Oryza sativa Japonica Group: one gene and its partner. The protein of the gene in region 1 interacts with the protein of each later gene in a biochemical or structural test. Links are inferred from orthologs where the notes say so. Each region holds a gene or a part of one and is shown in the gene's direction. Other genes may lie near its edges.

Region 1 (3,367 bases):
ATGACAGTTCAATTCTGTTTGCTTCCATTTGCTTACCTTTGATACTGCAATATCATAGGCCACTTTTCGACCTCAGATGTTCAGCGGAAATGGCTCTTTGTCAAGCCAAACAGCTGTGCCAAGTTCGTCACATATGGTAAACTGGGATATTCGACTTTTTCTGTTCATCAATAGCTTTAGATGGAAAATATCGGTTAAACATCATGATACCTTTTACTTTGTAGGGCATGAACCCTCCTCCCATGGCACAAGGCCATCATCTGGGAGGCCAGCAGATCCCACCTTTGCAAAAGCTACCAGGGTTGCCTCAGAATTTCCCTGTTCAATTGCAGAATAATCAGCTGGGACAACCCTTGCAGGGTCCTGCTCAACAGATTGGTCAGCTTCAAGTTCCACAATCTATGGGTCCTGGTTCTTTTGGCCAGAATAGGTTATCTGGTCAGCTTCCTGTGTCACAGCCGTTGATGCAACAAAATGCTTCCGTCAGCGCTGTGCAGGTGCCTTCAGCCGTGTCCAATTCCATGCAAGCTATTCCCGGGCAACAGCATCTTCCCTCAAATGTTGCACCACAAATGCTTCAGCAGCCAGTGCAGCAGATGCCATCGCAAGCACCACAATTGCTACTCCAACAGCAAGCTGCTTTGCAATCCAGTTATCAATCTTCACAGCAGGCAATTTATCAGCTTCAACAACAGCTGCAACTAATGCAGCAGCAGCAGCAATCGAATCTAAACCATCAACAACCCACACAGGTCGCTGAGCAACATGTATTTTCTATGCATACACCAATGTGTACGCGGTTTGTGTTTAGTTGTATAATGTGGTTTACGGCTGACATTTTTTTTAACCGTTTCTGTTTCCACTACAGGGTCAGCCAGTGCAATCTAGTAACCCTGGTGCCCCAAATGCCATTATTCCATCAAACATTAATACAATTCCCCAGCAGGCTACTTCACCTGCAGTTCCTTTAACCTGCAATTGGACTGAACATACGTCTCCTGAAGGTTTTAAATACTACTACAATAGCATAACTCGAGAGAGTAAGGTGAAGAATTGAAACTCATCACCAATCATTTTAAAGATCGCAACATTTGTGGGTCTCACTCTTAGAGTTATTGTTTTACAGTGGGATAAGCCTGAAGAGTATGTGCTGTATGAGCAACAGCAACAGCAGCAGCAACAGCAGAAACTACTTTTGCTTCAACAGCACCAACAAAAACTTGCCATGCAGCAACTTCAGTCACCACCTCAGGCTCAGACACATCCAGCAATGCAACCTGTCCAACAAATTCCTCAGGCACAACAAGGACAGCAACAAATGCAGATGAAACAGCAGGTGCACATGCTGTTCCCTGAGCTATAATTCTAATATGCACATTACTATTTGATTCCAGCTTCGCATGATCTATATTCTGCTTCTATCTTTTTCCTTCTTTCCTGTTGCCAGCTCATTAAAGAGATCCCTTTTCTGTTTCTTGAGTCTTGTCAAACCAAGAAAACTATTCTAATGAATGTTTCTACCTAGCACTGTGTTTCAGTACATGTGCTTCTTCTATGTATTCAAACCTTTTATTTTTTCATTCTCAACTTTGATTTGATTACTTTGTCTATCAGCACTTTTGACACGTCAGGTTGTATCCGCTTCAAGAGACAAAAACTTCTTTGTTGAATATATGATCTTGAAACACTGTATAATAGCGATAAAATTTGAATGAACTTTACTGTTGAGATTTTAACTTTCCTGTCTCTTAAATCTACATTTGAAGTTGTAAGTTGTGTAAGATTTGAACATTTTACATCTCAAACATTTTATATAGGAATTGAATTATACTCAGCTACAGACTCCTGGTGCTATTGATCCCAGTAGGATACAACAGGTACTATTTAACATTACTTTTTGTTCTCAATATGTTGATCTTAGATTCTTCATTGATTAATTTCAATTAACAGAATTAATCTCGGTAACATTTAGGGCATCCAATCTGCACAAGAACGTGCTTGGAAAAGTTGAGACTGAAGGTGAGAAAAATACCTACCTACCCTCAGTATGGCATTCTTTGTGAACTATATGAAAGTAAACACCAGTGACCATTTCATGTTGTGTGGAATGCAGTGCAAGAAAAATGATTTTTTTTTTGGGTTGTAAAACAACAGTGGTTTTTTGAAACTGTATGCTTTAAACTGTAATGAGAAACTGCTGTCATGTTTAAAAGGGTGACCTGAATCAAATCTTTACATGCGATGCTGAGATACAGATAGTTTTATTTGACGAGAAGTAGAGAACTTGAGGGATTTTAGTTCCTTTGATCCATTTTCTAGCAGATTTTTTTTTCTTAAAAAGCAATGAGATAAATGCTGTTGTGTTATCGGACGGACCAGCGTGTACTGACACATGATTAACTTGTTACTCTTTTTTTTCAGGTGAATGATAAATTGGTAAGCTGTTACTCGGAAATGAGCTCCACTCAACCTGCTGCCTCCATCAAATGCCTTGACGGTGCCTGATGCCTGAGTGGTGGCCAAGCGGCCATGCCGATCGTTGTAACTCTGGATATAGCTTAGATTGATGTCTAAAAAGTTGTAGCTCCAATCCGTGTAAAATGTTTGCAGTCTAGGCCTTGTACCGCTGTAACATTTCTGCTGATTAGAATGTTCGCTTTCCTTGCATAGGCAACTGCCAGAGGTTCGTCGCTAGTATGATTTTGGGCATTTCATGACATGTCCCCAGCAATCATCATTTAGATTGTTTCCTCCTTTGAAAGCTGTTTGCTCTCAAGACATGCTAGATAAGAATAGATTTGGCCGCGGCGGGAATCAGCATGTTTGTCCGCTCCCAACTACAATGGCCGACCGACGTGGGCCATTTCTCACATCGATTAGAACATGGTTATCTTTGGAGTACATCTTATTAAGCCCGTTACATTGGACAATGATGTGACGTCGCAGTTCCAAGATTTTTGATAGACTAAACTGGAGACGTATGTGCAACGTTTTAAGATACGAATTGAGATATAAACAAAAATTCACGGATATAAACAAAAAGAGGGAGAACACTTTTTTTTTGGAACAATGCAGGAGAAAAGTACAGGATTTATAAAAGCCACAATGATACATATCTGGGCCCGTGTAGCTAAGCTGTACCTTTTTTAAATCAAGACCACCTAGAGCAGCAGGAAGTTACACCTACCAGGTAGGAATGCATAAGAAGAGTTGAAATAACACATCTTGAAATTTCTTCTCAAACGTGTCCGACGCGACAAGCCATTAATTAACTAACATTGGTGTGATTATGCATTGCAAACTTCATTAGTCAAACTTTCAAAAGAATGAAAATTTTATGCGTTCTGTTGTGTCGTGTAACACCAGA
Region 2 (4,300 bases), on another chromosome or scaffold:
ATGGTTCAGTTTTATTTGTCCCTTTTTTTCTAGTGATTTTCAAAATGACACTGTTTTACAGTGGGTGGTTTTTTTTCATTGTGGGAGAAGTGTGATTTAGGTTCTGTTTGTTTCGGTTTAAGATTATTATAATATAGATTATTGAGCCATATTACAATAAGTTGGATTATAATAAACCGACATAGAATAATCTGTTAGTTGTTTGTTTCTACTGGACTGTTGGATACTTTTGGTAAAAAAGATAGGGAAATTCTTGATTATTCAACACCGGATCGTTATTAGCTATTAGCCACCCAATAATTAAAGAAAGCACCTTTAGAGTGGATTACCATATTATAGTAATCTGGCTCATAGATTGTAATAATTATCATAATAAGTTATCTGTTTGTTTCGACTTATTTATAATAATCTAGAATATAATAATCCTAAACTGAATCAAACAAAGTCTTAAAGAGAAGGTCGACGACAACTTCATTTTTACGTTTTCAACAATAACTACAACATGGTACGTGGATATGCACGCACTTAGAAACTCATACAATAATATTAGATTATGTAAACAACTAGACATCGGTGCTAAAATTATCAAATTCAACTAGAAACCCACATGTACAATACCAGAACGAGTCTAGAGGATCTATGCCTAATGATCTTTTTTTATAGAATATATAGGAATATAAAAGCACAAAAAATCAATACACGTGCAAAAACACATATATTTAGGACGTGGGGGAAAATATAACGTGTTGTGTCTGACATAAAATTCGCCGGATATGGATTTTTTAGGCAGATATAAATCTTAATAAAACTATCACTATTGATTATGATAATTTGAAGTTATATAGCTTGATTTGCCTAGACTAGGTGAATGTTTAAATTCCCATGAAATATAGTAGAATCTCCTACGGAATCTAAAAATACAAAATTTCTCCCCTAAAAAGTAAAAACCCTTCATCCAAAGAAGCACTAGACCATTCGCATATTTGTTTAGAGAAAAACTACTTTGAGTTTGCTTTTATTTGGAGGAAGCAACAGGAGCTTTTTTTTTTTTTAGAAAGAGCGGATAATTTATTTATTACCATCCACATTTACATTCCTATTCATATTACAAGGAGGATTTGAGAACCAAAGATAACGCCCCTCCTGTAAAGTAGAAGCAAACTTAGCTAAGTTGTGAGCATCAAAATTACAAGCCCGATTTTCATGACGAAACTCTACTTTTGCAAAATGCTTCCTTTTTGCCTCAGTATCATTTAGGACTGCTAAATATTGGCACCTTGGTTTGGAAGCAACAGGAGCTAAATACACGAGAGGCCTCGCATGGGCTAAAAATCCTTGCCGTCAACGTGGATGGGCCGGCCTTGAAGGCCCATCTAAATGAGGCCAGAGTGGGCCTGTATGGCCCAAATACATCTCGCGAGGCAAGCGAGGCAGCACAGCACTCGACCACTCGCCTCACGGAGCTCACCCTCCCGCGGCGTCTCCTCGGCGGAAGAACCCCGAACCCCCGCGCCGCACGGATCCAAAACCCTAGCTCAGGTCGGCGGGGCTCGCGGCGGCGGAGATGATGCAGCAGCAGCAGCAGCCGCCGCCGCCGCCGCCTCCGCCGCAGCACCCGCCGCCGCCTCAGGCCGGGGGCGGCGGCGGCGGGGAGTTCTACCGGGGCCCGCCGCCGCAGCCGCCGATGCGGCAGCTCTCGGCGGCGTCCTCCACCAACATCCCCGGCGACTACGCCGCGCACCAGGGGCACCCCCCGCCGCAGCAGAACCAGCCGCCGTACGACGGTAACAGTGCCGCTCTTTTGGTAGTTTCGTCGCTGGCTAGGGTTAGGGGCACAGCAGCGGTATTGGTGCGCGTTCTTATGTTATCGTAATTTTGGCTCAATTCAGCTTATGGGGACAATTTCGGTGCTAAAAGGATGCGGAAGCCTGTCCAGCGGCGAACAGTGGACTACACAAGCACAGTCGTCCGTTATGTTCAAGTATAAATATAACAAACTTATTTCTCAAGCAGTTATAGTGATATATGTTTTGTTCTATTTTGTGGGAGCCTATTATACAGTTGAACTTTGCTTACTATATGCTCCTTTTACTGTGCCTGCTGCAAACATCACATGAATATGAAATGCTCATAAGTTGATTTTTCTGTGCAATAAGATCTAGCACCCTGTATTTTTCTTATTCTTCTGCTAGCACTGATCACCATTATGTATATGACATGCAGGCTCGCATGTGGCAGCGGGATGCTAGGGACAGGCCCACTGTGCAGCCGACTCCAGCTGCTGTTCTGGACGTATGTTACCTTACCCATTTGCCTTGCTTGTAACCAACATGTTAAAAGATAGTTGCCATACTGTTTTCTGTTTTTAGACTTTTATACTTCTGACGCTCACATTTCTTTTGTAATTTGGATTTCAACAAACCACTATGTACATTATATTGATGTCCTTTGCAATCTCATGATTGGGAAGATCTTGAATATTCTTGAGTCAAGGTTCTGGTTAAACGGAAATGTTATGCAGTAAAAATGATAGTCTTAGAAAAAGAAAACTATATTGTTGTATGAATGGATTGTTGTATGTGGATTAATCAAACTCCTGTTGCTATCTAGGGAGAGTGCCTATCAGATCCTGTCTTTGGTTGTTGTTTTTGGGCCATTTAGCTTGCTAATTAATGCATAAGTTTTCAGTTTTGCCACAACTATGTAAATCTGTCTGGATGTTATTTATGATATATATGTGAGATAAATCCTCCATGGTACAACGTAAAACTGAGGGTGCTCAATGGATTAAGCTGACAAAATTAGATCTTTAACTCTTCAGTCTTCAGGCAATATTTTACGTAGAACATACTTATGTCTCATTCCTTTTAATTAGCTGAGTGCTGCTATTTTGGTTAAGGGTTTTGGATTGATTACTGGGTAGTGCTGTCATCTTGGACAAAAGATGATTAAGTTTGATGAATTAATTGTTCAGTTTGGATGATTATGAAATTGTCTGTATCTACTGTATTTTGAATACATTGTCTGGTATCTGGATATCCTGATTAATGTGGGTTTTTTTTTTCAGATGTTGCCGTCTGTTGCATACCCCGATAATCCCTCAACAAGTTTTGCTGCAAAATTTGTACATTCATCAATAAACAAGAACCGATGCTCTATTAATCGGGTCTTGGTGAGTTCTATGATATCCATCTCTATGCTTTCCTAGTATCCCAACTGCTATTTTTATATTTTTCAAAGAGCTCCACTAAGCCTTGGCTAGTGCATGGTCACTGAAGGACAGCGATACCTTCAGAATGCTGAAAACTATAGAATCGATCTAACTTCTAGGTGTTCACCACCATTCACCTTATTGCTGAGCTTCCTTTTCTTCTGAAATCTAATTTTATATTTATCTGTAGGCAGCTACTCTTACCATTTTAAATCAAATATATTTGATGGTATATTATATTTTTACTTGTTTTCTACATTTTTTATGGTAGAATTAAGGATTGATGGCAGTACAACTTTAAAATGTCACTTGATAGGCTCACACACTGTTTGAAAAATGTTCCAATTTTTTTACACCAGCTAGTGCAGAGGGTTGATAACTCCATTCCAAGTATCTTTATATTGGTGTAATCTAACTGAATTCGTATATTGTGTACCACGTTGATATTATTAGGCTAAATATGATTTCTCCTTTTGTCATTTATGTGTCTAATGTATCGTTATTTGTTGATAAAGTGGACTCCCACAGGGCGTCGGCTTATTACGGGATCACAGAGTGGTGAATTCACCCTATGGAATGGCCAATCTTTTAATTTTGAAATGATCCTTCAGGTATTCTATAATTTTGCTCCAGATTTTCTAGTAATGTGTCATTGAGTTTGCTGATTTTTGGAGGAATTTGATAATAGGCTCATGACCAAGCTGTAAGATCAATGATTTGGAGTAACAATGAGAACTGGATGGTCACTGGTGATGATGGTGGTGCAATCAAGTATGTTGGCCTTTTGAATTTTTATCACTGTCAGTCTGTCACCCTGTTGGATACTGATCCTTAAGTTAACATGTTGATCTTTTCACTGACATGTCAAGTGCACGTTTTGACTTCCTTTGTAGGTATTGGCAAAGTAACATGAACAATGTTAAAGTTAATAAAACAGCTCACAGAGAATCAGTTCGTGACTTGAGGTGATGGCAGCCCCATGTGCTTTTTTCTTTACTTTACCTATACCAAGTTAATGTTCATTCTCTGTTACAATGCATCTTTTAAACAGCTTTTGTAGAACAGACCTGAAGTTTTGCTCCTGTTCTG

The links.
Region 2: the proteins of flowering time control protein FCA (region 1) and flowering time control protein FY form a complex in vitro, tested with the Arabidopsis thaliana proteins (3 studies listed by BioGRID). The link is inferred for Oryza sativa Japonica Group from reciprocal best matches to the Arabidopsis thaliana genes FCA and FY.

The regions. Positions count from the first base shown.
Region 1 is NC_089043.1:5,817,465-5,820,831, forward strand, and holds the end of flowering time control protein FCA, read left to right. Parts: intron 1-58; coding exon 59-136; intron 137-224; coding exon 225-752; coding exon of another isoform or gene 753-767; intron 768-868; coding exon 869-1,045; intron 1,046-1,126; coding exon 1,127-1,336; intron 1,337-1,817; coding exon 1,818-1,877; intron 1,878-1,950; coding exon of another isoform or gene 1,951-1,956; exon of another isoform or gene 1,957-1,972; coding exon 1,973-2,011; 3' UTR 2,012-2,019; intron 2,020-2,421; 3' UTR 2,422-2,812; downstream 2,813-3,367. UniProt on the Arabidopsis thaliana protein: Plays a major role in the promotion of the transition of the vegetative meristem to reproductive development. Plays a role in the regulation of flowering time in the autonomous flowering pathway by decreasing FLOWERING LOCUS C mRNA levels.
Region 2 is NC_089035.1:42,529,828-42,534,127, reverse strand, and holds the start of flowering time control protein FY, read left to right. Parts: upstream 1-1,440; 5' UTR 1,441-1,564; coding exon 1,565-1,784; intron 1,785-1,889; coding exon 1,890-1,981; intron 1,982-2,223; coding exon 2,224-2,292; intron 2,293-3,067; coding exon 3,068-3,172; intron 3,173-3,726; coding exon 3,727-3,822; intron 3,823-3,899; coding exon 3,900-3,982; intron 3,983-4,104; coding exon 4,105-4,176; intron 4,177-4,262; coding exon 4,263-4,300.